Anolis sagrei: one gene and its partners. The protein of the gene in region 2 purifies or fractionates together with the protein of the main gene of each other region. This does not show direct contact. Links are inferred from orthologs where the notes say so. Each region holds a gene or a part of one and is shown on either strand. Other genes may lie near its edges.

Evidence for each region.
Region 1: the proteins of PDHA1 (region 2) and OGDH fractionate together in Homo sapiens (co-fractionation; 3 studies listed by BioGRID). This does not show direct contact. The link is inferred for Anolis sagrei from reciprocal best matches to the Homo sapiens genes PDHA1 and OGDH.
Region 3: the proteins of PDHA1 (region 2) and RAB7A fractionate together in Homo sapiens (co-fractionation; 3 studies listed by BioGRID, with this or other methods). This does not show direct contact. The link is inferred for Anolis sagrei from reciprocal best matches to the Homo sapiens genes PDHA1 and RAB7A.
Region 4: the proteins of PDHA1 (region 2) and DLAT fractionate together in Homo sapiens (co-fractionation; 3 studies listed by BioGRID). This does not show direct contact. The link is inferred for Anolis sagrei from reciprocal best matches to the Homo sapiens genes PDHA1 and DLAT.

What each region holds. Positions count from the first base shown.
Region 1 is NC_090027.1:15,081,295-15,088,798, forward strand, and holds the start of OGDH (2-oxoglutarate dehydrogenase complex component E1), read left to right. Parts: upstream 1-4,128; 5' UTR 4,129-4,233; exon of another isoform or gene 4,234-4,256; intron 4,257-7,504. UniProt on the Homo sapiens protein: 2-oxoglutarate dehydrogenase (E1o) component of the 2-oxoglutarate dehydrogenase complex (OGDHC). Participates in the first step, rate limiting for the overall conversion of 2-oxoglutarate to succinyl-CoA and CO(2) catalyzed by the whole OGDHC.
Region 2 is NC_090023.1:88,917,624-88,924,901, reverse strand, and holds the start of PDHA1 (pyruvate dehydrogenase E1 component subunit alpha, somatic form, mitochondrial), read left to right. Parts: upstream 1-3,852; 5' UTR 3,853-4,022; coding exon 4,023-4,091; intron 4,092-7,278. UniProt on the Homo sapiens protein: The pyruvate dehydrogenase complex catalyzes the overall conversion of pyruvate to acetyl-CoA and CO(2), and thereby links the glycolytic pathway to the tricarboxylic cycle.
Region 3 is NC_090022.1:56,362,403-56,370,710, forward strand, and holds the start of RAB7A (ras-related protein Rab-7a), read left to right. Parts: upstream 1-5,128; 5' UTR 5,129-5,316; intron 5,317-8,308.
Region 4 is NC_090027.1:40,398,645-40,406,499, forward strand, and holds the start of DLAT (dihydrolipoyllysine-residue acetyltransferase component of pyruvate dehydrogenase complex, mitochondrial), read left to right. Parts: upstream 1-4,436; 5' UTR 4,437-4,573; coding exon 4,574-4,828; intron 4,829-6,857; coding exon 6,858-6,959; intron 6,960-7,256; coding exon 7,257-7,381; intron 7,382-7,855.

The DNA of each region.
Region 1 (7,504 bases), on a different chromosome or scaffold from region 2:
GTTTTCAGTAATAAATTTGTTACCTTCTGCTATATTTATTTATTTACTTACTTTATTTATATACCGCTTTTCTCAGCCCTCAGGCAACTCAAAGCGGTGAAATATAGGGCACTGATTAAATGTACACACTATCTGACATGGGAAGGGTCCCTGTTGTTGTTGTTAGTGTCTTTGTAAATTGACCAAGACTTGACCCCTATTGTCTTTGTCCTTAGCAAAACTATAAGTTACTATCTCTTATGGGGGTCAGCTCCAGCTTCTCATGAAGGAAAATGAGAGAAGCCTCCCACTGAGTGGTAAAGTATCCAGGCGTCTCCTGGGCAATGTCCTTGCAGAAGGCCAATTCTCTCAAACCAGAAGCAATTTGCAGTTTCTCAAGTCGCTCCTGACATGAAAAAAAATCTCACTAACTCTATCTGACATGGAAAAAAAACCCCATAAAAGTGCTGATTCCCTTTACTGATTCAGGTAAATGAAGCCTGCAGAAGGGAATGTTGCCAGAACATAATAAGCATATTTTAGAGGACAGCTGTCGTTTACCTTGGAATTTTCTGTATGTCCTTGGAAGTAGTTGCAGTTTTTCAAATTTCTGGATTCACCTAAGACTTGCAAATATCCAGAAAAATCAAAAAGCTGATAGCTGTGGCTTGAGGAAGAAAAATAAAACTGCCAAGTTATGTGGGCATTTACTACTGAAAACCATGGAGTTTACAAACAAGCCTTTGTATTCTGCTCAAAAGATTCCCTGGAGCAAGCATTTAATCCTCAAATCATGAGGCAGGGTTAGGTAATCTTAATCTAGTAGTGTCTTTCAAACATTTGCAAACTTCCATTTTTTAAAAACAAACAAACAAACCAACTTTTCTCAAAATCCCAGGTATCATCATCTGTTTGGAAAGTCCAAAGTCTGCAATTGTTTTATAACGTTTAGAGAAGCTCAAGCGAGAATTAGCAACATGGAGTGTCTATTTAATCTTTTTTCATGTCAGGAGCAACTTGAGAAGTTGCAAGTTGCTTCTGGTGTGATAGAATTGGCTGTCTGCAAGGACGTTGCCCAGGAGACACTCGGATGTTTTACCATTATGTGGGAGGCTTCTCTCATGTCCCTGCATGGGAAGCTGGAGTTGACAGTTGGGAGCTCGCCCCGCTACCCTGATGTGAACCCCGACCTTTTGGTCAGCAGTCCGGCCCAAGAATGTATGCATGCATTCCAGTATTGACTCTGGACAAGTAGAAGGTTGAGATGAAAACACAGAGCCAAAGAATTGCAGTAGTTACCTGGCATATTAGCATTTCGAGATTTTGCTAGTAGCATGTTGCCCATCAGGAAAAGGAACTTCTGGCTAATATCCCAAATCCTGAACAACCGGGGTATTCTTACGCTGGTGGTTTGGAGTACATAATCCTCTGGGGGGAAAATAGGTATATAGTACATGCATTTCGTGACCACATCTATATAAATAAAAATGTAATGTTCGTTTGTGGGATTAGCATAACTCAAAAAACCATTGGACGAATTGACACCAAATTTGGACAGCATACACTTAACAACTCAATGTATGTTTTTCACTCAAAAAAATGATTTTGTCATTTGAGAGTTGTAGTTGCAGGGATTTATAATTAACCTACAATCAAAGAGCATTCTTAACATCACCAATGCTGGAATTGAACCAAACGTGGCACACAGGACTCCCATGACATGGGTACTGATAGGCATTGACCTTGAGTTTGGGAGTTGTAGTTCAGCTACATCTAGAGAGCACTGTGGAGTCAAACAATGATGGATCTGGACCAAACTTGGCACGAATATTCCATATGCTCAAATATGAACACAGATGGAGTTGGGGGGGGGGGGGGGGAATAGACCTTGACATTTGGGAGTTGTAATTACTGGGATTTATAGTTTACCTAAAATCAAAGAGCATTCTGAACCCCACGAATGATAGAATTGGGGCAAACTTCCCACACAGAAACCCCTATGACCAATAGAAAATACTTAAGGCCATCCAGTCCAACTCCCTTCACCAAGGTCATTAGACTGGGCCACAGCAACACATGGCAGGGGACAGCTAGTATGTGTATATAGAAGCAAAGAAACACATTCTAAGCAAGCCTCAAAAGTCTGGAAGGCAGCACCTTTGAACAAACCTTAACTCACTACGAGATTTGACTTTGCACTTGTTTTTAATACAGACATAGGAAACCCATTTCCCCCACCCCCAAAAAACCCTGGTTATTGCCCTCATCTCCTCACTCTACCCTCTCATGAAACAAGTAAAACCAATATATAATGTATATATAATTTTGTCTTGTGTGTACAATTTTGCATGGAGGGCCATTGGGTTGAGAAGGATCAAGCCACACTTCAGTGGGTATTAGACTTAAATTCCCTATACAGTCTTTTAGCTTTTGAATTATTTCATTAGTGTTAGATGCGCTCGCTAGATGGTGCTCTCTTTGCAAGGGCTAATTATATAATGCCTTACTCTAATGATATGTGACACTAAATATTTAAAGACATTGGCACACTTTGGGGATGTCTCCAAGTCTTAAAAAAGACAGATTTTTCTTGCAGATGTTACAAATACCTAGAAAACTGGCCAGCTATGGCAGTGGTTCTCAATCTTCCTAATGCCACAACCCCTTAATACCTCATGTTGTGGTGACCCCCAATCATAACATTGTTTTTATTGCTACTCTTTGGCTTAGAAATGTAAGCGCTGCCTCCGGAAAATCCTGCAAATCTCTTGGGAAGAGAAGTGGACAAACGTCAGCGTGCTGGAAGAAGTAAAGACCACTAGCACTGAAGCGATGGTCCTCCGCCATCAACTCCGCTGTACCGGCCACGTTGTCCGGATGCCCGACCACCGTCTCCCAAAGCAGTTGCTCTACTCTGAACTCAAGAATGGAAAACAGAATGTTGGTGGACAGGAAAAGAGATTGAAAGATGGACTCAAAGCCAGCCTTAAAAACTCTGGCATAGACACTGAGAACTGGGAAGCCCTGGCCCTTGAGAACTCCAGCTGGAGGTCAGCTGTTACCAGCAGTGCTGGAGAATTTGAAGAGGCACGAATGGAGGGCGAAAGAGAAAAACGTGCCAAGAGGAAGGTGCATCAAGCCAACCCTGACCGGGACTGACTGCCTACCACCTAGAAACCAATGCCCTCACTGCAGGAGAACATGCAGATCAAGAATAGGGCTCCACAGTCACCTATGCATCCACCAATCTTGGAAGACAATCCTACTCAGACATTGAGGGATCGTCTAACAACAGTTTGGCTTAGAAATGTATATAAGCACCAACCCGCAGAGTCAGACACGACTAGACATAAAGTAAGGGGAAAACCTTTATCTTTACCTAGCTGGCCCTGATTGTTTGTTGGTTTGTTTATTGTTGATTGATTGATTGATTGATTGATTGTTTATTAACCGCTTTGAGTCCCCCCAGGGGTGAGAAAGGCGGTATATATATATTGTAAATAAATAAATTCCTCCCTCCTTATATATATATATATGGATTCAATGAAGGAGTGGCTTTGCGGAAAATATAATAAAGGGCTGCCATTTCCCAATCTGGCCACTTGATGGCAGCAAAGGATTGTACATTGGAGTCGCGGAGTCCTGGGTGAAAAGCGCCTCTGCGGTTTCAAGGAAGGAGCAGAACAGCAATTCCTGATGTCTCCACTGGGCGGCGGCAAAAGGACCGGCATTAGGGCCCTGTAGAGCCGTAGAGGAACCTGTTTGGGGATGTTGGGGACTCTTGTCCAACTCCCCTAAGCTTAAGAGACTGAGGGGGGAAAGGAAGTGGTCTGAGGCTGTTAGGAATTGTGGGACTTGAAGTCCAAAACTTTCGAGTTGATTTCTCTAAATCCCCTAACAGCAAAACGTGGAGTTCACTCTATTTTTAAAAAAAGCTCTAGTCTAGGGTTTCTTGGAAAGAGGACCCAAGTTGACCCGTGGCTGCTCTAAATCTAAACGTGGAGTTCACTCTAAATTTTTCAAATCTCTAGTCTAGGGTTTCCTGGAGCTAGAGCCCAACTTGGCCGGTGGCTGCTCTAAATCTAAACGTGGAGTTCACTCTATTGTTTTACAAAAAGGTCTAGTCTAGGGTTTCCTGGCGTGCTTGATGACGTAAGCACGTAGGCGCCCGGAAGCGAGAGAGGCGGAGCCGGCGGTTGGCGCTGTCAAGCCCAGTTCGGAATCCTCCTGAGGGGAAAGGAGGCAGGAAGGAAGGTCGGTCGAGGCGCCGGCGGCAGGTAGCGCGGCCTGAGGCGGTTTGGGGCCAGGCTGAGGCGCGAGGGAAGGGAAGGGCCGCGAAAGGGAAGTCGCCCTCAGGGGGGCCGGACAAGTGTCCTTCGCGGGCGGGTTTGGGCCGCGCCGGGTTCCGTAGGGAGGTGAGAGGCGGGCCTGGCTAGGCCGGAGCCCCCTGCTCGGGCTCTTGTGTGCCCCTGTGGGCCGTGTGGGTCTGGCCTACTAGATCTCCATCCCCTCCGGCTTATTATTGGAGTTCTTTCCAGTAATATTCCATTTCATTTGTTCTTCCCTCTCTCCTCACAGCTCGAGGCGGGGCACAACATATAGTGAAGATAACACCGATTTATGTTTCATATACAAATGAATTTGGGCTCTCTCTCCAGGTGTTTTGGACTTCAACTCCCATCATTCCTAACAGCCACAGGACCATAAGCAGCTGAGGGGGTGGGGGGAAGGAAGGAAGGAGCCTGAAGCTGAGGGGGAAAGGAAAGGGACTGAGACTGTTAGGAATGGTGGATTTTGGCCCACCTGGAGGGAGGGCAAAAGTTGACCCAGGCCTGAGGTAACTGGTAGGTGCTGGATAAATGTAGCTGAGAATTACCGTTAAAAATAGGACTAACCCAGTGTTTTTCAACCTTATAATAACTTTATTTTTATACCCCGCCTCCCATCTCCCTGAAGGGACTTTGGGGCGGCTTACAGGGGACAAGCCCAGGATTACAATAAAACAGACACAATAAAAACAATCAATAACAACAAATAAAAAACATTAAAATTAATTAACATAAAAACAATACCTTTCCTAATTCTGCAACCCCTTCCTCATGTTATGGTGACCTTCAACCATAAAATGATATTTAATGCTACTTTCATAACTAGAACTGTACTTTCATAACTGTAATGTTGCTACTGTTATGAATCGCAGTGCAAATATCGGATATGCAGGATATATTTTCATTCACTTGGCCAAATTTGACACAAATATCCAATACGCCCAAATTTGAATACTAGTGGGGTAGGAGGTTAATTTGGTCATTTTGTAATTGTTGGGATTTATAGTCCATCTACAATCAAAGAACATTCTGGACTCCATTAACCATGGAATCAAACCAAACTTGGCACACAGAACTGCCATGACTAACAGAAAATACTGGAAGGGCTTGGTGGGCATTGAGCTTGAGTTTGGGAGTTGCAGTTCACCTACATCCAGAGAGCACTGTGGACTCAAGCTATGATGGATCTGGACCAAACTTGGCACAAATGCTCAATATGCCCAAGAATGGACACCAGTGGAGTTTGGGGGAAATAGACCTTGACATTTGGGAGTTGTAGTTGCTGGGATTTACAGTTCACCTACAATCAAAGTACATTCTGAACCCCACCAACAATGGAATTGAGCCAAACTTCCCACACAGAACCCCCATGGCCACAGAAAATACCATGTTTTCTTATTATCGTTGATGACCCCTTTGACACCTCTCGCGGGGGCTGCCAGGGGTCTTGGACCCTAGGTTGAGAAACACTGGACTAAACAATACTATACATTGTGGACTCAAATAAACCCAGTTTAAAGCAGATATTGTGGGATTTTCTGCCTTGATATTCTGGGTTATATGACTGTGTAAGAGCCCTAAGTATAGTTTAACTTTTACTGTTTATGCTCTGGAGTTTCTCAGAGAGGGAAGACAGGTGGACAATAATAATAACAACAACAACAACAACAAAATGACTTCTTACCTACTTCACTTCATGGCTCAAAGTAGGTTACAGAAAAATTAAAACACATAAACATTGCAGGAACGCTACAGATAACATATATTAAAACATATTTCTACAAAAGTTACATATTAAAACGTATTTCTATAAAATGTCTATTAAAATACACAAAATAGAGATTAAACGGATTAAATGGATACAAAACAGATCACAGATTTTAAAAAATGAAACAGTTTTAAAATCTGGGTTGCTGTGAGTTTTCCCGGCTGTATAGACATGTTCCAGAAGCATTCTCTCCCGACATTTCACCCACATCTGTGGCAGGCATCCTCAGAGGTTGTGAGGTCTGTTGGAAACTAGGCAAGTGGGGTTTATATATATGTGGAATGTCCAGAATGGTATCAAGTTTGGTACCAGATATATCTAATTAAAAACCATTCTACTGCTTGGACACCACAGACGCCTTTCCTCATTACTGTATATTGTTTTAATATGTTTGATTTGGAAGATGACGTGAAATGGCGAACTGTTTTAATGTATCTATAATTGTTTTTAATATAGGTTAATTGTATATTGTGCTTCTTTTGTTGTTTGGCACTGAATGATGCCTGTTGGTAGCAGTACTGAGTCCCTCTTCGGAGGCGAGAAGGACAGGACAGAAATGCTCCTAATAATTATATTAAATAAATAAATGTTTAGGTTCTTGTGGGTTTTTTCGGGCTATAGAGCCATGTTCTAGAGGCATTTCTCCTGACGTTTCGCCTGCATCTATGGCAAGCATCCTCAGAGGTAGAGGTCTGTTGGAATTAGGACAATGGGTTTATATATATCTGTGGAATGGCTGGGGTGGGGCAAGGAGCTCTTCCCTGCTGCAGTTAGGTGTGAATGTTCAGCTACCAGTATCTGGCTACCAGTATCTGGCTACCAGTATTAAAAAACTCTAAAATTATAACAGCTAAACAACAGAGAGGAAAAAACCAGGCACAGATTAACACCTCCCAGCAGCAGATTTTCCCAGGCGCAGGCAGGCCTTCAAATGCTAATGAAGGTGATCAGCTGAACATTCACACCTAACTGCAGCAGGGAAGAGCTCCTTGCCCCACCCCAGCCATTCCACAGATATATATATAAACCCATTGTCCTAATTCCAACAGACCTCTACCTCTGAGGATGCTTGCCATAGATGCAGGCGAAACGTCAGGAGAAATGCCTCTAGAACATGGCTCTATAGCCCGAAAAAACCCACAAGAACCTAGTGATTCCAGCCATGAAAGCCTTCGACAATAAATAAATGTTTGAAGATGAGTGTAGCCATTGCCCTCAAAACTGCCCTAAAGTCATTTCCCATTTACAGCGAGCATAACACAAACCTTTCACAGTTTTTCCTTGGAAAGAATTGTTCCATGTTGGTTTTTTGCTTCCTCTGGGCCAAGAGAATGTGACTTACCCAGGGCCATCCAGTGGGTGAGCAACAACTCTTTAAATTGAAGCCATTAATAAAAACATTTAGTGAAGTTTGAAAATCATTTTAAGT
Region 2 (7,278 bases):
TCCTTGCGACCCTGGAAAAGGTGGGTAGTGGTAGGCTCCTTGGCAGCCCCCTTGGTCTTAAGGTCCTGCTGATTAATGCCAGATCCGTTAATGGTAAGACCGCGGCCATTCAAGACTTGATCCTGGATGAGAGGGCGGATCTGGCATGCATCACCGAGACCTGGCTGGACGAGCTGGGGGGTGTAAATCTCTCTCAGTTATGCCCACCAGGTTTTGGAGTGCATCAGCAGGCCAGACAAGGGGGGCGGGGAGGAGGGGTCGCAGTAGTCTTTCGGCAATCCATCGCCGTGATCAGATGCGCTGTCCCGCAGGCTTCCGGGTTTGAGTGTGTCCACTTGAAAGTGGGGAGCCGTGACAGTGTGGGGTTCCTGCTGGTGTACCGCCCACCCCGCGACCCAGCAGCTTCCCTGTCTGAGCTAGCGGAGGTGGTCTCTAATTCGGCCTTGGTCTCCCAACGCCTGGTGGTGCTGGGAGATTTTAACATTCACGCTGAGACCACCTTATCTGGCGCAGCTCAGGACTTTATGGCCACCATGACGACCATAGGACTGTCACAGATAATATCTGGCCCCACTCACCAAGCTGGACATACTCTTGACCTTGTCTTTGTGATGGACAACGAATTGATCAGAGTGGAAGATCAAAACATCCTTCCTGTGTCATGGTCTGACCATTATCTGATCACTTTTAGACTTGCTGCGACTCTTAACCTCCGCAGGGGTGGAGGACAAATTAAAATGGTCCGCCCTAGGAGACTGATGGATCCGGATGGATTCCTGAGGAATCTTGGGGTTCCTCCTGCCCTGGAGCTTGGCGATTCTATCGACGCCTTGGTAACTCTCTATAATGGGGAGATGTCCAGGGCATTAGATATGATCGCACCCGAACGTCCCATCTCGTTGCGTCGTGACAGGCCATCTCCTTGGTTCACCGAGGAGCTGGCTGTGATGAAGCATACGAGAAGGGGGCTAGAGCGCAAATGGAGGAAATCTCGAGCCGTCTCTGATCGAGCACGGGCTAAAGCCTCTCTTAAGGCATACTCCGTGGCTATATGGGGGGCCAGGAAATCGTTCACGACCTCCCGTATAGCGTCTGCTGCAAATAGATCATCGGAGCTGTTTCGGGTCGTGGGGGAACTCCTCCATCCTCCTGTGGTGGAGGAGGTCACTGATGACCCAGCAGCTAGGTGTCGCGATTTCGCACACCATTTTGCAGGTAAAGTCGCCCAGATACGCCTTGAGCTCGACTCCAATTCCATCGCAGTGCCAGAAGAGGTGACGGAGGCATCTGCTTGTCTGACTTTGTGGGATTCTTTTAGGCCTGTTCTTCCTGAAACCGTAGAGGAGATTCTTGGGGCTGTGAGGGCGACCACCTCATCTCTAGACCCATGCCCATCTTGGCTCATCAAATCAGCCAGGGAGGGGTTGCTTGATTGGTTTGTATTGATTATCAATGCATCGTTGGAGCAAGGGATTTTTCCATCTAATCTGAAGCAGGCTGTGGTTCAGCCACTCCTCAAAAAAGCTTCCCTTGACTCCACGGTGCTGAGTAACTACAGGCCAATCTCCAACCTCCCTTTTCTGGGTAAGGTGCTGGAGCGGGTGGTCGCCTCGCAGCTCCAGAGCTTCTTAGACGATACCAACTACCTAGATCGGTCACAGTCTGGCTTCAGGCCTGGTCATGGTACCGAGACAGCCTTGGTCGCCTTGGTGGATGACCTCCGCAGAGAACTGGACAGGGGGAGTGTGACTCTGCTGGTTCTCTTGGACATCTCAGCGGCTTTCGATACCATCGATCATGGTATCCTTCTGGGTCGTCTCTCTGGGATGGGCCTCGGGGGCGCGGTTCTGTCGTGGCTCCGGTCCTTCCTGGAGGGACGGACCCAGATGGTGAAGCTGGGAGACGCCTGCTCTGACCCCTGGCCTTTGACCTGTGGGGTCCCGCAAGGCTCCATTTTGTCGCCCATGCTTTTCAACATCTATGTGAAACCGCTGGGAGAGGTCATCCAGGGTTTTGGAGTTGGGTGCCATCTTTATGCGGATGACACACAACTCTACTACTCCTTTCCACCTAACTCCAAGGAGGCTTCTCGGGTGCTAGACGAGTGCCTGGCCGCTGTGTTGATCTGGATGAGGAAGAACAAGCTGAAGATCAATCCCGACAAGACAGAGGTCCTCCTGGTCGATCGTAAACCGGATCGGGGTATAGGATGGTTACCTGTGTTGGACGGGGTTACACTCCCCCTAAAGCCACAGGTCCGCAGTTTGGGTGTCCTCCTGGATTCTTCGCTCACACTTGAGGCTCAGGTGTCGGCGGTATCCGGGAGGGCCTTTGCGCAACTGAGACTTGTGCGCCAACTGCGACCATACCTCGTGAAGGCTGATCTGGCCGGCGTGGTCCACGCCTTGGTCACCTCTAGAATGGACTACTGCAATGCGCTCTACATGGGGCTGCCCCTGAAGATGGCTCGGAAACTTCAATTGGTCCAGCGGGCAGCTAGGATCCTAACTGGGGCTCCTTATCAAGAGAGGTCTACCCCTCTGTTTAAGGAGCTCCACTGGCTGCCATTTATTTTCCGAGCCCAATTCAAGGTGTAGGTGCTCACCTACAAAGCCCTAAACGGTTTGGGACCACCCTACCTGCGTGACCGCATCTCCATCTACGAACCCACACGCTCGCTTCGATCATCTGGGGAGACCCTACTCGTGATCCCACCTACGTCGCAAGCGCGCTTGGTGGGGACACAGGACAGGGCTTTCTCTGTGGCGGCCCCCCGACTTTGGAACGCCCTTCCAAAAGATCTCCGACAGGCCCCTACTCTAGCTGTTTTCAGAAGGAATTTAAAAACTTGGCTATTCCGTTGTGCCTTCTCAGACTAGGAATCCCCACCCCAAGTCCTAGTAGCACCTTAGCATAACTAATCGTCGCTGCACACCGCACTTCTAATCCTACGTGCCTCCTGCCATTTCAGCACTTTTAACCCTTGTACCCCATTGCGCCGGCCGAACCAGTTTTAATAATGTCTTGATGTACTGCCATTGTCGTTATTTTGCTTATTGTTTTGATTTGCTTTGTTATTGTTGTGCTATGTTTTCTATTGTATTGTGTTTTGAGGCTTCGGCCTGTGTAAGCCGCATCGAGTCCTTCGGGAGATGCTAGCGGGGTACAAATAAAGTTAATAATAATAATAATAATAATAATAATAATAGATAGAGATAGATGTATAGATGGTGGGTTAGGTAGACAGACAGACAGATAGTGGGTAGGTAGATGGATGGATGGATGGATAGATAGATTAGATAGAGAGAGGGGTGGGTAGATGAATGGATGGATAGATGGATGGATGTATAGATGATGGGTTAGGTAGACAGACAGATAGTTGGTAGGTAGATGGATGGATGGATACATTAGAGAGAGAGAGGGTGGGTAGATGGATGGATGGATGTATAGATGGATGTATAGGTGGTGGGTTAGGTAGACAGACAGACAGATAGTGGGTGGGTAGATGGATGGGTGGGTGGTGGATAGATAGATCGGTGGGTGGGTAGATGGATGGATGTGTGGGTGAATGGATGGATAGATAGATAAATAGATAGGTAGATAGACAGATAAATCGGTGGGTGGATAGATAGATGAATGGGTGGGTGGATGGATAGACAGACAGATCAGTGGAGGGAGGGAGGGAAGGAGAGAAAGAGAGAGAGCTATCTCGTCTCCAGAGGAGTCAGTCATTGTCGGCGGGCTCCGCCAGGGGGCAGTAGAGCGAGAGAGAGCGAGCGGAAGAGCGCCGCTGCCGACACTTCCTCCGCTGTCCTTCTGAGCGGAGCTCCTCGTCGGCCGGGTTTCCGCGGAGGAGGAGGAGGAGGAGGAGGAGGAGGAGGGGAGGAGGGAGGGAAGAAGAGGTTGAAGGAGACTCGGCGGCCTTGCCTTCCTTCCTTCCTCCGGTGCGCGGCGGGGCTGGGAGCAGCCGAGGGTAGAGCAGGCCGCGGCGTGTGTATGTGGCGGTGAGCGCCCTGCCCTCCATGCGCAAGATGCTGGCCGCCCTTTCCCGCCTGCTGCTGCTGCCCAAGGGCTCGGCTGCCCACAAACCGGTGAGTGAGCGGGGGGAGGCGGAGGGCAGAGGGCTCCCCGTGACTGACTGACTGACTGACTGACTGACTGCCTGCCTGCTTCCCAAGGCCACGTGCCAGGGGCGCGAGGCGAGGGGGAAACGGGCACTCCCGAGGGGGCGCGTGGCTGACAGCTGGGGTCGCGCGCACAACAACGGGGGGAGGGGCGACGCGGGGAGGTGAGGAGGGAGGAGGCCGCGCCCTGTAGAAGAGTTCTCTCCCTCAAGAGCTCTCTGCCCTCCTCTGAGGCAGGCTTGGGCCTTCAGTCGTTTCTGACCTATGGCGAGCGAACCCTCTCCTCCACCTTCCCCTCCTCCTCCTCCTTGGCAGAAAGGGGTTTGCCCTTGCCTGTCTCTGAGGCTGAGAGAGTGCGGCTTGCCCGAGGTCACCCGGTGTCTTTCCTTGGCTCCTCAGAGTGCCCTTGAGGTTTCTGCTTACACTGTCAGCGCTGTGGAGCCACGGGAGTTTTGGCTTGCGCTTTTTGAAAGGCAAGGCTCAAGGCCATGCAAAACGACCACCCCCAAGACGCCAGGGCAGTTAGGAATGGGGCCCAACTGGATTGGTTCTACAGTGAAGATGCACCTGTAGTCCAGCGCTCAAACTGGCGCCCATTTATTTATTTATTTGTCGTGTCAGGGCAACTGGTGCCCATAAGAACACACAGTCCCCTGGAAAAACCAACAATGCTTGGTTATTTAGAAAGCTGTACAGAAAAAAGGCAGATGCTGCAGACAGATAGATTGTTACTGCATAGAGTTACGACCGTGTTGGCTTCCCATCCAGCTACTAGCAGGGCCAACCCTGCTTACCTTCCAGTGGCTGCTGGATTTTTGTCATTATCTCCCATTAGGTTGTGTTGTCCAAAGCTTTCATAATCACTGGGTTGCTGTGAGTAAATGCCCAGTAGAGTTTTTTCTGCCAGCCATAAGTCAACCTAGTGGCAGGGTTGCTGCAAGTTTTCCGGGCTGTATGATCATGTTCAAGGAACATTCTCTCCTGATGTTTCACCCACATTATGGCAGGCATCCTCAGGGGTTTGAGGAGTCTGTTGGAAATGAGAATGCCTGCCATAGATGTGGGCGAAATGTCAGGAGATAATGCTTCTGGAAAATGGCCATACAACCTGGAAAACTCTCAGCAACCCTGCCATTAGGTTGACTTATGGCTGGCAGAAAAACTCTACTGGGCATTTACTGCTTAAGACATACTAAATATTTATAGACTTATTGTAAATCAACAGGTGACTAAAAGCACACAGAAATTACAGAATGGGAATGGAAGAAACAATATTCCTTCAACAATACATTGAGATTATTAAGAATAGTTTTGGCCATAACTTCATAACCACAGATGTATTAAGAATATTCTCCTTTCTAAAGCACAATAAGACCCTAAGCTCTTACAAAGAGCAGTACAAAATAAAACATTATACTAACACAATACAGATATGCCTACTTTGTACTATGCTTCTTGCAACACATTAATATTGCTTTGTGTCTGAGTCTCCAGTTTGTGCCAAAGGACATGGAAGTGGCTTTCTGGATAATCAGGCTGCCATATGGCATCACATGTTTAAGGGTAAAATAAAGGCAAACATTCCACACTACAGGAATAGTATTTCTTGTCTCAGAAAACCCTATGAAATTAATGGGGTTGCCATAAGTTGACAGACGGAGGCATACACACAGGTGACCAATATAAAGAGAGCACAGGTGTCTTCCCACTCCTTTCCATATTTGTGGAGAGGAAGCTGTCTCTTTTCAGGTATGTCTTTTTGCCCAGTTTCTGTTTTGATATAGTTGCAACACTGCTGCCCTACTTGTGTCTGTCTTATTTCAATGCAGTGGTTCACAACCTTTTTTTGACCACTCTCCAACAGTAGTACCAAATGGGTTACAAATCGGGTTTGGGTCAAGTGTAGATTTGGTTTGGTTATTTGGGGTACTAATTCAGAAAATTGCATTGGGCAGACCACATCAGCTCTAGCTTCTGATGCAAAACATATGTCATCCAGTAGTCACCATTTGCTTGCCCACAGAAAACCATATTTAATAATTTATTTATTTATTTATTATTTACTTTGCTTCTATACCGCTGTTCTCAGCCCGAAGGCGACTCACAGCGGTTCACAGTCAGTAAAAACAGCAATAATTCAATGCAACATATAACAACAATTAACAACTTAACACATTACCCGCTCAGTACACAATTACTACCATAACCAAACCCAATCGTCTTATCGTCAAAAACATAATCCAGATTCGTCATCCATTGTTCATTCCTATGTTCATTACCAATCATTGTACTAGTTATTCGAATGCCTGCACACACAGCCAGGTCTTCAGTTTTTAGGGAATACCATGAGAGATGGGGCCGATCTAATGTCCATGGGAAGGGCGTTCCACAGCCGAGGGGCCACCACCGAGAAGGCCCTATTTCTCGTCCCCACCAACCGTGCTTGAGAAGCCAGCGGGATCGAGAGCAGGGCCTCCCCAGAAGATCTCGAAGTCCTGGTGGGTTCATAGGCAGAGATGCGGTCGGAAAGGTATCTTGGGCCGGAACCGTTTAAGGCTTTATAGGCCAATGCCAGCACCTTGAATTGAGCCCGGTAGCTCATCTAGAGCTCATCTAGAGCTGATGTGGTAATAATAATCTTTCATGGGTAGTCAGCCTCTCCCCTCCCCATATCCCTGTTGCCTCTGCACTATAAGAGAGTTTCGCAGGACCAGTCACTCTCATTGTTGCGTGGCTTCGAGGCAACAGTGTAGTAAGTGAGACCACAGACCATATTTTCGTTCATGGGGACCACTGGTGGTTCATGGACCATAAATTAGGAATCGCTGCTCTAAGGTAATAATATTGGTAAGATGTAATAATGGCCACAAACCATATTTTCATTGTTGGGGACCATTGGTGGTCCATGGACCACAGGTTGGGAACCACTGTTCTAAAGAAATAATATAAGGTGAAATGTTGGCCACTATTTTTTTGTTTTTTATTGGGGGGTTTTGGGGGGGGGGGGCTGGGTGGTGGTGGTTGTAACCTAAACCATCAGGGAAAGAAAACAGTAACCCAAAACCTAGCATCAGAACCTAACATCAGGAATTTACACATTTACAGAGCACATTCACTCAGACAGAAACATGGCATTCCATGAAAACCCAAGGGC
Region 3 (8,308 bases), on a different chromosome or scaffold from region 2:
CAACTCTATGATTCTATGACTAGTGTGAAAGAGGTTGTCGTGGAAAATTTGAACTAGAAGAGCTTCCAAAGTTTGGCATCAGGGTGAGAATCAATTATAACTACAGCTGTCTATGTTGACTGGAGATTATTAAAGTTGTAGTCCAAATCTCCTACTTAAGCCAAGTTGTGAGGGCTGTGGACCTCAAGAAATTAATACTATATATTTTCAGAAATTATACTTATCAGAGCCAACATATCATAGACAAGCCACTTTGGGGAGATAAAGCAGGGTATACATAAATATAATAATCCAACTAAAGCATACAAACACGTTTTGATTAAAATCTTAGCACCACATTCTTGGTGGTATAACCCTTTTTTGAATGGTAATGTGTGTGTCTGTTCTTACAATGCAATGCTTTGTGTATTTATTTACTCAATAGTAAGTACCACTGATTTAAATGCTTAAGTTAGAATTGCACCACATGTGTCCTGTTTAATTCATGTTCTCACATGAGAAAGGTTTAACCTAATTAAAGCTTCCATCATCAGCATAATAGCCAATTGGCTTTTTCCTCCATGAGCATGGGCAACTCCAGATTAATGACAACCTGTTACATGTGCTTGGTTTGCTGGATTGAGACTTAAATTACTTGCAGAGAGAATTAAGGGCATATCTACACTGTAGAATGAATCCAGATGGACCCCACTTTAACTGCAGTGGTTCATTGCTATAGACCCATGGGAGTTGCAGTTTTATAAGGTTTCTAAGCATTCTCTGCGAAAGAATGCTGGTGCCTGAACAAACTACCACTCCCAGGATGTAGCACTGAGCCATGGCGGGAAACTTGCTGCAAAACTGCGTTAATTCTATAGTGTAAACTCTAAGCGACAATTTGTAGAGATGTTGACTCAACCAGCAGTGACCCCTGGACTTTTAAGTAAAATTGCACCACTCTATGAGAGACACATACATTCAATGTCTCCGTTGTAATGCAACAGATCAGTGGAGCACTACGGTTTTGTAAGCCAAGCAAGACAGCAGTCTGACTGCAAAAGAAATCCTGGTGAAAACAAGGGGTTTATTTTACAGAGCATTCACTAGGTACAGTATTAGGCTCCGCACTGCTTAAGGGGGTTTATGGTCTACTAAATGAATTGAGGCTGAAATCAACACTGCATGTATCTGACCAAGTCAGTTCTAATTCCTGAAAGCATATGCTATAATAAATTTATTAATTGTATAGGTGTCATGGGGATCTCTCTTGGTTTTGCTGCAAGCAAGTACTAGTGCCCCTTGGAAACTTGTGACAGTGAGGATTCAGTAAAGTTCCCTGCAGGATCCATGGGAAAATCAATCAGCCTATCCATGATCTTACCTGGCTTATGATCTACTTATCATAATTACAGTGATAAAGAGAAGATTGGGGGGAATGGGACAACAAAGGGGGAATCTAGCAGCACCTTTTAAGACTGACTGGTTTATATTTTTCATGACATTTTATGAATATTAATCCATTTGTTCAGCTGCTATGACATAAGAGGCAGTTTGATACTTGAACTTCAATGGCTCAATGCTAGGGAATAATGGCAATTGTAGTTTTAGCCTTCCCTGTCACCAAATCCTAGGATTCCATAGCATTGGCCATGGCAGTAAATGTGTAGCCAATCTGCATTAATTTCACAGTGCAGATGCATCCCTAGTAATCTTAAAGCCTCAGGTTGTTAAGCATATTTACAGATCTGTGGGAGTGAGAGATAATGTAATAGATTTCTACTTTCCTGGTCAAACAGTATATGTGGAATACCCTTTCTTTGAAATGCTTGGGACTAGAAGCATTTTGGTTTTTGAATTATTTACTCAGATTTTGAATATAATATGCACAATGAGGTATCTTGAAGATAAGACCCAATTCTAAACAAATTCATTTACCTTTATATATAAATAGCCTGAAAATAATTGTATAGTCTTTCTTAAAATTTTGTGTATGAAACAAAGTTTGTATGCACTGAACCATCACAAAGCATAAGTGTTACTATCTCAACCATGATTTTGGAGGTTTCTGGAATTCTGGCTAAAGGATGCTCAGCCTGTATAGGATTTTCAAGGAGCAATTCTTGAAGAAAGAAATCACAACGGGTGACTGGTGAGAGCAATTGAATGTCATTCACAATCTGCAATCTATTAGCAGAGGTAGGAATAAAGAAAATAGTTTTATAACACAATACATGAATCCCCACAACTGGAAATATAACAAAGGAAATCTCCCAATTTCACAGATCAATGTTGTAAAGACCCAAAAGACCCAAATTTCCCCATGCAGTCTTTTGAAGATTTAGGACAGAGGGCCAGGATTTGCATCTTTCTGAAGGACGCAGATGTGGACAGATATTATTATTTACAAAAGGCTCATGTGTATATGTATGTGTGTTGTGTGTGTGTGCACGCGTGTGTGTGTGTGTGTGTGTGTGTGTGTGTGTGTGTGTGTGTATATATATATATATATATATATATATATAATTTGGACTGATGAAAGGTAGGCTGCTAGGGATGGTGTGACTGGGATTTTGGGTCAATGTGGAATGTTAATGTTTTAGAATATTTTACATATTTTTATTGGACCTATGTTTTATTAGTGTAATCATGTTTTATTTAAATATTTGTATTATTATTATTAGTAGTAATTCAATTATCTTTTTAGTTATAAGTTTATTGATGTTATTTGTATTAGGTTAATCTGTGTGTATTTGCTTTCCTATGGCATTGAATGTTTGCCTTTTTGTATGTAAACCGCCCTGAGTCCCCTTGGGGAGAGAGAGCAGTTTATAATTATAATTATAATTATTAATAGTTTGATGGCACAAAGAATTCAATTATTTCAATGTTGTTAATGGCACACAGTGGTTTTTTTTAAAGTACATTGATATTTTAATGTGTTTACATTGTTTGGTGCCTTTGGTAGTAATATTGAGAGAAAGACAAGACAAAAATAAAGTACAAAGTATAATGTATTAAACTGTTTGATATTTATACTGGTGGGTTTAGCGGCCATTAGTTGTTTTAACTATGCTTAACGATATTTATTGTTTTCTTTTTTATTTACAGGCTTTTGTTTGATATTATGTATATTTTTTGTGTTGTGAGCTGTCCCAACTTTCTTTGGGGAGAGGGGGTGGGAATACAAATAAAGTTTATTATTATAAACTATGTATGTATGTGTGTGTATAATAAATAACAAATAAAACTACTAGCCTGAACTGGGCTGCTAGATCCCTTCTTACAATGCCATAGGGTGCATCTACACTGTAGAGCTGTAGCTCTCCATCTTTGGAACTCACTACCAGGTGAGATTAGGCAAGCCCCCACTTTAGCAGCCTTCAAGAAAAACCTGAATTCGTGGCTCTTTTGATGTGCCTTTGGAGAGTGACCATTTATCCCATTTCTGTTTGCTTCATCTATAGTGTTGTCTCTATGACGCACTCCCCCCCCCCCCCCCGTCCTAAACTGAAAACTACCCTACTGTTTATCCTTTTTGGGCTCCCCTCAATTACATATTTTCTATTCCTATCCTATCCAGGGTTTTATCATTCTACCTCATCCATTTGGCCTGCCCATTCTTTTCGATTTTATATTATGTTAGTTTGCTTTATTTTATTTTGCTACTGTATGTATTTTATTCTGATGTATATTTTTGTTGTCTGCATTCTGTATTTTATTGAGCTGTATTGTATCTTTGGGCTTGGCCTCATGTTAGCCGCCCAAGTCCCCTTTGGGGAGATGGTGGCGGGGCATAAATAAAGCTTATTGTTATTATAGAGCAGCCATGGGCAAACTTAGCCCCTCCAGGTGTTTTGGATTCCAACTCCCACAATTCCTAACAGACTCGGGCCTTTTCCTTTTCCTTCTCAGCCGCTTAAGCAGTTGAAGCAATTCAAGAGAGATATTGACAAGCTGGAATGTGTCTAGAGGAGGGCGACTAAAATGATCAAGGGTCTGGAGAACAAGCCCTATGAGGAGTGGCTTAAGGAGCTGGGCATGTTTAGCCTGAAGAAGAGAAGGCTGAGAGGAGACATGATAGCCATGTATAAATATGTGAGAGGAAGCCACAGGGAGGAGAAAGAAAGCTTGTTTTCTACTTCCCTGGAGACTAGGACATGAAACAATGGCTTCAAACTACAAGAAAGGAGATTCCATCTGAACATGAGGAAGAACTTCCTGACTGTGAGAGCCTTTCAGCAGTGGAACTCTCTGCCTCAAAGTGTGGTGGAGGCTCCTTCTTTGGAAGCTTTTAAGCAGGGGCTGGATGGCCATCTGTCAGGGATGATTTGAATGCAATATTCCTGCTTCTTGGCAGGGGGTTGGACTGGATGGCCCATGAGGTCTCTTCCAACTCTTTGATTCTATGATTCTATGAAAAAGGAAGGGACCCGAGGCTGTTAGAAATCGTGGGAGTTGGAGTCCAAAATACCTGGTGGGCTCAAGTTTGCCCATGCCTGCAGTAGAGTTAGTATATTCAGTTCTTGTGGGTTTTTTCCGGGCTATATGGCCATGTTCTACAGGCATTTCTCCTGACGTTTCGCCTGCATCTATGGCACGCATCCTCAGAGGTGAGGTCTGCTGGAACTGGGAAAAAGGGGGTTTATATATCTGTGGGATGACCAGGGTGAGACAAAGGGCACCTAGCCCAACTCAGAGGAGGATGCGTGCCATAGATGCAGGCGAAACGTCAGGAGAAATGCCTCTAGAACATGGCCATATAGCCCGAAAAAACCCACAAGAACTGAGTGATTCCGGCCATGAAAGCCTTCGACAATACAGAGTTAGTACAGTTTGATGCCACTGTGACCGCCCTGGCTTAGTGCTGTGGAATCATGAGAGTTGTAGTTTTACACCGTCTTTAGTCTTCTTGGCCTCGCCAAACTCCCACTCCCAGGATTCCCCCGCATGGAGTCCTGGCAGCTCAAGCCATTCCTGAGGATGGACTAAGAGAGCGGCTTCTTTTGTCTTCACTGACAGAGGAGTCACGTGAGCGAGGCGGCACCATAGACAGAAGCGGGGGCAGAGCGGCCACCCTCTTGCGACAGAGGAACCCAAAGCCTTCCCGGCGTGGCCCCGCCCACTAGGCGCGTCGGCACGCCGGGCGGGTCTCGTGACCGGAAGAGGGCGAGCGAGAGACGGAAGTGAAAACGGGGAGGGTGTTTGGCCCCATTAAAGCGGACCTGAGCGGCGCAGGGAGGAGGAGGTTGTCACCGCTGCTGCTGCTGCTGTTGTTGAGTTACCACAGAAGTCGCCACCGAGGAGGAAGAGGAGGAGGATTCCGGGCCCCCTGAGACGGTGAGGGAAGGGCGGCGGAGGGAGGGAGCGAACGAGGGAGGGAGGCCTGGCGGGTGGGGCTAAGCGAGGCTTGGCGTCCCGGTGGGCCCGGCCTTGGGTGTGCGGCCCAGGCAGCGCCAGCGGGGCTTGTTTGGGAGACAGCAGGAGGAGGAGGAGGAGGGCGCGGCTCCCTCGGCGCTTCAGGCCGCCCTTCTGCCTCGGCTGCCAAGGAGGGAGGAGAGAGCGGCCCCGGGCCCCGCCCTGGCTCTCTCTCCGAGGCAGGAGTCGCTCTGGAAGTTCCTTGCCTCCTCACGGCAGCTCCGGAGGGAAAACGAAAGGGAGGCGGCCTTCCCGGAAGGGATTTTGGTGTGAGGAGCGAGCTTCTTCCTCTTTCTCCCCCGACACAAAGAGATGTGGGGTGGAGCCCCGTGCTCGTCCTGATACCTTTGAAGTCCACACAGCCATATCACCTAGAATATCAAGACGGATAAGCCACAATATGTGCTTTGGACCGGGTTATCTGAGTCCACACTGCCATATAATCCAGTTCAATGTGGATTTTATACAGCTGTGTAGAAGCGGCCTGAGTGTGACTTAGACCTTGGCCCTCCGAAACCGAAAGGCGAGAAAGCCCGGCCCGAGTAGGTTCCCTTCCCCCTTCTGGTCCCCTCCCGCCAGCCCTTCCCTGCAGGCAAAACAATAACGCTTCCTGTCGCTCCCGGTTGAAGAGTTCAAAGGTAAGGTAACACGCCTTTGTTTCTCATGCCCCATCTCTAGTAATCACTTAAATCCATTTCCAACCGGTGTTGAAGAAAGTGGTTTCGCTGTGCAGACGATTACAGAGGAAATCCAGGAGCCACTTCGAGGCCTGGATGGTGATTACACAGATCACTCAGCGTTAAGAGGTTTCTTTCGCACGCTTTTGTGGGGCTTTGTTGTTTGCTCTCCGCAGTTTGAAGCTAGTTTCCAACTTCATTAAATAGTCAAGAGTAGAAGGGGCCTTAGTCGTCTGCCTTGTTCATGCCAAAGTGCTTGACCTTGGTGTCATATTACTTCGGGAAGTTTGAAATTGAAACCATCTCCTGAGGATTACTTTCTTGTCCGCTCCCTGTGTAAATAATCACCTGAGGTAAATGTACTCTTTCCTGAATGGTATTTTTTTTGGTCGCTCGGTCTTATAAGCAAGCTTGTCCCATTGTATAGTAGGAAGACTTATGTGTAAGCCTACATTGATTATCAATATACATAAAAATGTAATGTTAGTTTGTGGGATTTACATAACTCAAAAACCACTGGACGAATGTACACCAAATTTGGACACAATACACGTATTAGTCCAATGAGTGACCATCACTCATAAAAATGTTGAAAAACACAGAAGAGACTTAAAAAGCACCCACCCACCCCCAATTACAATGCATGCACAAAACCACACATATACACAAATGCATACATATACACACAAAAAGCACTTATACACAGACTGGGCCACAGCAACACGTGGCAGGGGATGGCTAGTGATTCATATAAATGGTTAGGTAGTATGTTTGTGGACAATTCTGGAATGCCTCTGGTACGCACAAGGACAGCTAAGGGTAATAATATATTGCTAGAATCTACTCAGAATGCACAAATGGTAAACCATTGGGTCCTTCAACTTGATGCTATCTTACTGGTTAAACATGAGATCATTGATTAAATTAGGAAAAGCAAACAAAGCTTGATCTCTTCCAAGTATGTAACTTGTAAGTGTGCTGCCTTTCTGAGTATTCACTAGTATTGGTCAAGACTGCAAAAGAGTCCAAGAGTACTCCAAGTCTTGACTCATCAATGTCCTTGGACAGAACAGGATTTATCTTGGTAATAGTGTGTGCACGCATGTGCAACTGAGTAGGAGAAAGTTCTTATCAGACTAGCATTTTCTGTACCTTTTTGTAAAGATTTAAATATTTAAGCATGGCAAATGAATCCTGGAAGCATGCTGAATTCTAAGAATTTAGTGGAAATTACTGAAACTAAAATGAGTTGCCCTTCCAACTGATTTTGTAACAAATGACTGTCAAATGCCAGATAATAAAATGTAAGCCAGGTTTAAATTTGGCTTGCTTAAATTCACTTCAGTAGTCCAAGTATTCTTGTGTATGTGTTATATTTTAAATATTACATGTGTAATTTCACTGATCTTTGTAAACTTCACAGATTTTCAGAGTGTGCTTTTAATTTCGTTGCTCCGCTGCTGAGGAGTAAAACTTGATTAATGGTAGGAGGAGTTTAGATACTTTCCCTGTTCTTAGCCATGCCCTCTTAGTTGGGAAGAACAAGCATACTGTCTTCCCTTGTGATTGAAGCAGCTGATAAAGCACATGATTTAGTTCATGGATGGCTAACTACAGTTTGTCTAGGTAAAGAGATCACCAAAATGCCAACAAGTAGTTTTGAATAAAGCCAGCAATGCAGCCTGTCACTTTTACTTCAGAAATCATGGCAAATAGCATGTGGGAGCTCTATAGCAATCTAATTCCCTATTTATAACATTTCCACCCAAGGGTCTTAAACACAAACAAGAAAGGTCTCTAATATATATGTTGTTGAAAGCTTTCATGGCTGAAATCACTGGGTTGTTGTGAGTTTTTCAGGCTGTATGGTTCTAATTTGTGTTTGAATATATCGTCTCTAATACGTGTCTCTAATATATGTTTGATGGTACTCTACTTGCCCTTGAAATTCTAAGCATCAGAACAAAGAAGTCATTTAAATAGCGTATGCATTTTATATTGAGATCTAGTTTTATAACTTGATAGTTCTTGAAACAAGATGGAGCATAATCTAGAGAAATCATGAAGTACATCTGGAACTGCTATCATGGAACAACAGAGCTACAGAGCATGTGCTTTTGTGAGTGGAAAGTCCCAAGCTCAATTCTTGTAATCTTCAGTTAAAAAGCATATTGGTAGCCAGTGATGGGAAAGGCTTTTATCATATTCTAGAGTTGCTTGTCATCAAAAGATTGACT
Region 4 (7,855 bases), on a different chromosome or scaffold from region 2:
CTCAGTCCCTTTCCTTTCTCTCCTCAGCAGCCTCAGTCCCTTTCCTTTTCACCCTCGACAGCCTCAGTCCCTTTCCTTTCTCTCCTCGGCAGCCTCAGTCCCTTTCCTTTCTCTCCTCGGCAGCCTCAGTCCCTTTCCTTTTCACCCTCGGCAGCCTCAGTCCCTTTCCTTTTCACTCTCGGCAGCCTCAGTCCCTTTCCTTTTCACCCTCGGCAGCCTCAGTCCCTTTCCTTTCTCTCCTCGGCAGCCTCAGTCCCTTTCCTTTTCACCCTCGACAGCCTCAGTCCCTTTCCTTTCTCTCCTCGGCAGCCTCAGTCCCTTTCCTTTCTCTCCTCGGCAGCCTCAGTCCCTTTCCTTTTCACCCTCGACAGCCTCAGTCCTTTTTCTTTTCCCCCCTCGGCAGTGGCGGGAGGGGGGGGGGAGGAAGCGGCCTGAGGCTGTTAGGAATGGTGGAATGGTGGGAGTTGAGGTCCAAAACACCTGGAGTGCTGAAGTTTGCCCAAGCCCGCTGTAGAGAATGCTGGGATGTTTCCCGCTGCATCCTTTGAATGCCACTCTCTATGGCTCTTGTAATTAGTTTTATTTTACTATCAAGGTACGACAGGATCTTTAAAAAACGGTTTTATATTTCTCCAGCGAGTTCTTGTATAGGCATTTTATGTGTTGTTCCTCTAGAAAGAGCGGTAGTGCCTTTCTAACCTGTGTCCGCTGTTAGCATTCGGAGCGTGGTCTTCGTCGTCATTCGGAACAACTGCAAGACTGAAAAGGAGGGGGGAAATTGTTCCTTTCTCTAAGAAGAAGGGGAAAAACCCCTTACTTCCTTTCGTGGAATTAACTGCCAGTTTCTCTGTTGCATGAGTTTTTGTACATTGCGAAAGACAGCATGGAGTTAACTTTACGGAAACGAACGAAATATTGTCTGGTTTTCTTCAACAAGGGTTACGTGCTTCAAGGTGTTTTTAAACTGCATGTCAGTTGAGTTCATTCTTCCATTTTGTAAACACAAGGCAGGATGGTGGTCATTTCAGAAAAGGGCTGAGCAATCCTGCACACAGTTTACGACTTTAAATCCCATGGATTTTGATGCAACCAGCCCAAGATTTTGCAGGACATTCACTTAAGACCTTTCAGCATTCATAAAGTTGAAGCAGTTATAATCTTCGCCTAAGATCTTCGATTTGTCAAAGGCTTTTATGGCCGAATCACTGGGTTGCTGTGAGTTTTCCGGGCTGTATGGCCATGTTCCAGAAGCATTCTCTCCTGCCGTTTCACCCACATTTACGGCAGCATCCTCAGAGGTTGTGAGGTCTTGTCGAAGGCTTTCATGGCCGGAATCACTGGGTTGTTGTAGGTTTTTTCGGGCTATATGGCCATGTTCTAGAGGCATTCCCTCCTGACGTTTCGCCTGCATCTATGGCAAGCATCCTCGGAGGTAGTGAGGTCTGTTGGAACTAGGAAAATGGGTTATCATGAACACAGTACAATATCAGTGCTATACATCACTATATTGTATTATACAATTATATTGTAATATTATTAGTAATATTACATGTAATATAAAATATATAATTTTATTATTATTATTATACTATATGGTGTTGCAGTTTTGAATTTTTAAATTATTTTTACAAGGCCATTAAATGCTAATCAAGGTGGCCAATGGGAACAATCAGGTGGAAACAGGGGCAGCTCACACCTCCCAACATAGGATTCCCCCAGACAGGAAGCAGCCAGGATTTGAAGCTGCAAGGCCATTAAATGCTAATCAAGGTGGTAGTTGCCTCAAGCAGACAAGAGCTCTTTTTCTCTATAATGCCCACTTGCCTAGTTTCCAACAACCTCTGACATAGATATGGGCGAAACGTCAGGAGAGAATGCTTCTGGAACATGGCCAGACAGCCCATAAAACTCACCGCAACCCAGTGATTCTGGCGATGGAAGCCTTCAACTACACATAATGATATTTTGCCTAATACCTTTGGTTTGTTTATTGTATCCCTACAGTAACACCAAAGATATAACCTTACAGTGAATTTTCAGCACTGGAGGATCCAAGACCCTTGTTCTGAATCTTATATATGTGCAAAAGCCTTGTAAGTCGCAGGTTTATCAATCCTCTTCTTGTCGTCTTTGCAGAGTGAGGTCAGCATGGATTATTAATTGGACCAACGGGCAATATGCATTTTTAATGAAGAGGGAATGTTCTCGTTCTTTTCGTCTTTGCGGCTGATTTGTTTTGCTTCCTTCTGCAATTCCTTTCTGGGTCCGTGTCCTTGCAGAACCAACATTGCAAACGTTCCATACCAGGCTTGGGCAAACTTTGTCCCTCCGGGTGTTTTGGACTCCAACTCCCATAATTCCTAACAGCCGGTAGGCTGTTAGGAATTGTGGGAGTTGGAGTCCAAAACACCCAGAGGGCCAAAGTTTGCCCATACCTCTTCTATACTCTTCTGTTTTGCCTAGAAATATTGTAATTGCAAAACTCTTTCTCTGTGACCAAGAAGGACCTGGACCTTGTTTGTGTGCCGTTGACCGTTGGACGTACTTTTGACCCAAGGACAAAGACTTTAAAGGAAAGGAACTTTTAATAAAGTCTTCAAAATAAGCCTGGTTTGTTTCATTACTACTTCTATAGGCCCAGGAGTCTTTCAAGGAGGTCCACAAGTGATTGTGGAGACCTGTTCTGGATCCACATGATGGTCTTTCACTATGAAGACATACATTTCCAGAGGGAAGGTAATATCAACAAGGGTTTGCTTGAGGAACCTTCTCAGGACGTTTCTCCCTTTGGCCCTCAATCCTTCTCAAAATCCTAGCACAACTGACTTCCAGTTAGATTCTCAAGGGCCAGGATCTCTCTATGTTTTTGGTGTTTATGTCACTTCACTTAGGCAATCCCTCGTTGGCTGAGTAGTATAGTCAGTGTTCTGGTGGGTCTGTAGGTGACTGTGAAGCCATATTCTTGACCTGCATCGTCTCCTGCAGTGAGGACATTGGTTTCCAGGTGGAAAGCAGTCTCGGTCGGGATTGTCTTGACGCGCTTTCCTCTTGGTATGTTTCTCTTTTTCGCCCTCCATTCGTGCCTCTTCAAATTCTGCAGCACTGCTGGTCACAGCTGACCTCCAGCTGGAGCGCTGAAGGGCCAGGGCTTCCCAGTTCTCAGTGTCTATGCCACAGTTTTTAAGGTTGGCTTTGAGCCCATCTTTCAATCTCTTTTCCTGCCCACCAACACTCCGTTTTCCGTTCTTGAGTTCGGAGTAGAGCAACTGCTTTGGGAGACGGTGATTGGGCATCCGGACAAAGTGGCCGGTCCAGCGGAGTTGATGGCGGAGGAGCATTGCTTCAATGCTGGTGGTCTTTGCTTCTTCCAGCATGCTGGCATTTGTCCGCCTGTCTTCCCAAGAGATTTGCAGGATTTTCCGGAGGCAGCGCTGATGGAATCGTTCCAGGAGTTTCATGTGAGTTTTTAGAGTTTTTTAATACTGGTAGCCAGGTTTTGTTCATTTTCATGGTTTCCTCCTTTCTGTTGACATTGTCCACATGTTTCTTGTGGATTTCAATGGCTTCTCTGTGTAGTCTGACATGGTGGTTGTTGGTGTGGTCCAGCATTTCTGTGTTCTCAAATAATATGCTGTGTCCAGGTTGGTTCCTCAGGTGCTCTGCTATGGCTGACTTCTCTGGTTGGAGTAGTCTGCAGTGCCTTTCATGTTCCTTGATGCATGTCTGGGCAATGCTGCTGTGTTTGGTGGTCCCTATGTAGACTTGTCCACAGCTGCATGGGATACGGTAGACTCCTGCAGAAGTGAGAGGATCCCTCTTGTCCTTTGCTGAACGGAGCATTGGTTGGATTTTCTTGGTGGGTCTGTAGATAGTTTGTATGTTGTATCTCCTCCTCAGCTTCCCTCTACGGTCAGTGGTTCCCTTGATGTATGGCAAGAACACTTTTCCTCTGGGTGGGTCTTGGTCTCGACTCTTGTGGCTTGTTCTCGGTCTTGCAGCTCTTCTGTCTGAAGTGGAGTATCCATGCTGGACCACACCAACAACCACCGTGTCAGGCGACACAGAGAAGCCATTGAAATCCACAAGCATGTGGACAATTTCAACAGAAAGGAGGAAACCATGAAAACGAACAAAATCTGGCTACCAGTATTAAAAAACTCTAAAATTACAACAGCAAAACAGCAGAGAGGAAACAAACAAGGACATCTAATCACCTCTCAACAAAAGATTGCTTCAGGCAAAATACATAAATATCAACAGTCTTGTGTAGCAATGGCCCTAGTGTCAACAGTTGCTTTGGCGCGTGCGCAGAAAAGCCCTCCGCCAGCCGCGCCTGAAAGGCACAGGGAGGGCGCGGCTTCCGCGCATGCGCCTGGAAGACTCGGGAAGCCCCGCCCACCTCTCCTTGGTTCCTTTACGGCCCCCTGTTTTTGCGGCAGTGTCGTGCGCCCTCTGCTTCTTTCCGGGAGGCACAGCCAGAGAGACAGGAGAGGGAGGTCAGTTAGAGAGCGGAGGCGGCGAAGGAAGCAAGGCAGGCGAGGGCCGGGCGTGGGCCTAGTCGCCGAGGGGAGCGATGTGGCGGGCGCTGGCCAGGCGCGTGGCCCGGCAGTGCGCGGCCCCGAGGCGGGCGGGGGCGAGCGCGGGGGAGAGGGCGCGGGGCCGCGCTTGGGCCCACCACCAGGCCTCTGCCTCCGCCTCCTCCTCGGCCTTCTCTTCGCCTCCTTGGGGCGGGACGGCGCTGCTGCTTCTCCCTCGAGCCGGAGCCAAGACAGCCGGGCCTCAGGCCGCCCCTTCCCGGCCCTGGAGCACCTACCCGACCCACCAGAAGGTGACACTTGGGGGCTCTTCTGAGGGGGAAAGGGGGCCAAAGACGATATTGACATTTGAGAGCAGGCATGGGCCAGCTTGGCCCCCCCCCTCCAAGCAAAACAGCAGAAGGAAAACAATCAGCTAATCACCTCTCAACAAAAGATTGCCCCAGGCACTGCCAGGCCATCCAATACTAATCAAGGTGGTCAGTTGAGACATTCACACGCATTCCAGGCAGGAAACAACGAGGGCCAGCTAACACCTCCCAAGCAAGGATTCCCCCAGGCAGTAAGAAGCCAGACCTTGAAACTGCTAGGCCATTAAATGCTAATCAAGCTGGCCAGTGGCAACATTCATGCTTGCTTCAAGCAGACAAGACATTGGGTTGTTGTAGGTTTTTCCGGGCTATATGGCCATGTTCTGGAGGCAATTTTTTCTCCTGACGTTTCGCCTGCATCTATGGCAAGCATCCTCAGAGGTAGTGAGGTCTGTTGGAACTAGGAAAATGGGTTTATATATCTGTGGAAAGACCAGGGTAATGTTTCAGCTGATCACCTTGATTTGCATTCAATGGCCTGGAAGCGCCTGGGGGTAATCTCTTGTTGAGAGTGATTTTATGTGCCTGTTTGTTTCCCCTCTGTTGTTTTGCTGTTGTAATTTTAGAGTTTTTTTAATACTGGTAGCCAGATTTTGTTCATCTTCATGGTCTCTTCCTTTCTGTTGAAATTGTCCACATGCTTGTGGATTTCAATGGCGTCTCTGTGTAGTCTGACATGGTGGTTATGAGAGTGGTCCAGCATTTCTGTGTTCTCAAATACTATGCTGTGTCCAGGCTGGTTCATCAGGTGCTCTGCTATGGCTGACTTCTCTGGTTGAAGTAGTCTGCAGTGCCTTTCATGTTCCTGGATTCGTGTTTGGGCAATGCTGCTGCGTTTGGGGGTCCCTACGGAGACTTCTTGGCCACAGCTGCATGGTACATGGTAGACTCCTGCAGAGGTGAGAGGATCCCTCTTGTCCTTTGCTGAACGTAGCATTTGTTGGATTTTCTTGGTGGGTCTGTAGATCGTTTGTATGTTGTGTTTCCTCATCAGCTTCCCTCTGTGGTCAGTGGTTCCCTTGATGTCTGGCAGGAACAATTTTCCTCTGGGTGGATCTTCATCTTTACTCTCGTGGCTTGTTTTTGGTCTTGCAGCTCTTCTGATGTCTGAGGTGGAGCCTCCATTGGCCTGGAGAGCCCAGTTGAGGTGGTTCAGTTCATCTTGGAGGAGGTGGGGTTCGCCCTATAGCACGAAAAAACCCACAAGTACCTAGTGATTCCAGCCATGAAAGCCTTTGACAAGACAAGACATTATTCCACGGGTATACAAACCCCACTTGCCTCGTTTCCTACAGTCCTCACAACCTCAGAGGATGCCTGCCATTGATGTGGGCAAAACGTCAGAAGAGAATGCTTCTGGAACATGGCCTGGAAAACTCACAGTTTTTGCAGTTTAGTAAATTTTCCCCATGTTTTTATGATAGTCCCAATTAGGAAATGACATTTACAACACAGGAACAAAAATTGTGTTGTGTAGTGTAATCCATTGCCTGGTTCTGGGCAATGCAGTTCAAGGAGGAAGGAGTCTGGAGAAAGGTCACGCAAATGACAGAAAGTTTGTAAACCCTGCATCCCCCTGAGGAGAGGCTTAAGGAGTTGGGGATGTTTAGCTTGGAGAAGAGAAGGTTGAAAGAGGATGCGATGGCTATGTTTTGGTGTTGAAAAGTAGGAAGAAACAGGCTTCCTTTCTGCTGCTTCAGAGACTAGGACACAATGGAGTCGCGTATTCAAACTGCAGGAAAAGAGATTCCACTTAAACATTAGGAAGAGTTTCCTGATAATGGCATTCAGCGGTGGAATATGCTTCTACCTGGGAATCCTATTTTAAGCAGAGGCTGGATGGCCCTCTGTTAGGAGGGCCTGGGTGTGTCTTTGTTCCTGGAAGAAGGGGTTGAAATGTGTGGCCTTTGGGGTTCCAACTTTCTCCCCTTGACCCCTTTCCCCTTTGCAGGTGCCTTTGCCCGCTCTCTCGCCCACAATGCAGATGGGGACCATCGCTCGGTGGGAGAAGAAGGAAGGCGACAAGATCTGCGAAGGGGACCTCATCGCAGAGGTAACCTGAACATGTTAGACCAGGTATGGGCAAACTTTGGCTCTCCTCCAGGTGTTTTGGACTTCAACTCCCACAATTCCTAACAGCCTACCCAACTCCCACAATTCCTAACAGTTTTGGACTTCAACTCCCACAATTCCTAACAGCCTACCGGCTGTTAGGAATTGTGGGGAGTTGAAGTCCAAAACACCTGGAGGAGAGCCAAAGTTTGCCCATGTCTGAGTTAAAGGGTCTCAATTTGCACCTGAGCATTAGCATTACAAAAGCTGTAACCACACTGCTTTTCTGCCTCTGAAGGTGGAGACAGACAAAGCAACCGTAGGGTTCGAAAGCCTCGAAGAATGTTACCTGGCTAAGATCCTGGTGCCAGAAGGAACGCGGGACGTCCCCATTGGAGCCATCATATGCATCACTGTCGACAAGTGAGTACAATCGGGAGCGTCTTTTGAAATATGCTTTGTTTACTACTCTTTATTTACATTTCTGACTCTTTTGAATAAGAGCCTCCCCAACTTCCTTCTGTTGAAGTTGAGGCTCCTTCTATTATTATTATTATTATTATTATTATTATTATTATGAGATACACAGGAGCGTCTTTTTTAGTGTGCTTTGTTTGCTACTCTTTGTTTACATTTCTGACTCTTTTCAATAAGAGCCTCCCCAACGTCCTTCTGTTGACGTTGAGGCTCCTTTATTATTATTATTATTATTATTATTATTATTATTATTATGAGATGCACGGGAGTGCCTTTTTAAATATGCTTTGTTTGCTACTCTTTGTTTACATTTCCGACTCTTTTCAATAAGAGCCTCCCCAACTTCCTTCTGTTGAAGTTGAGGCTCCTTCTTCTTTATTATTATTATTATTATTATTATTATTATTATTAGATACCCAA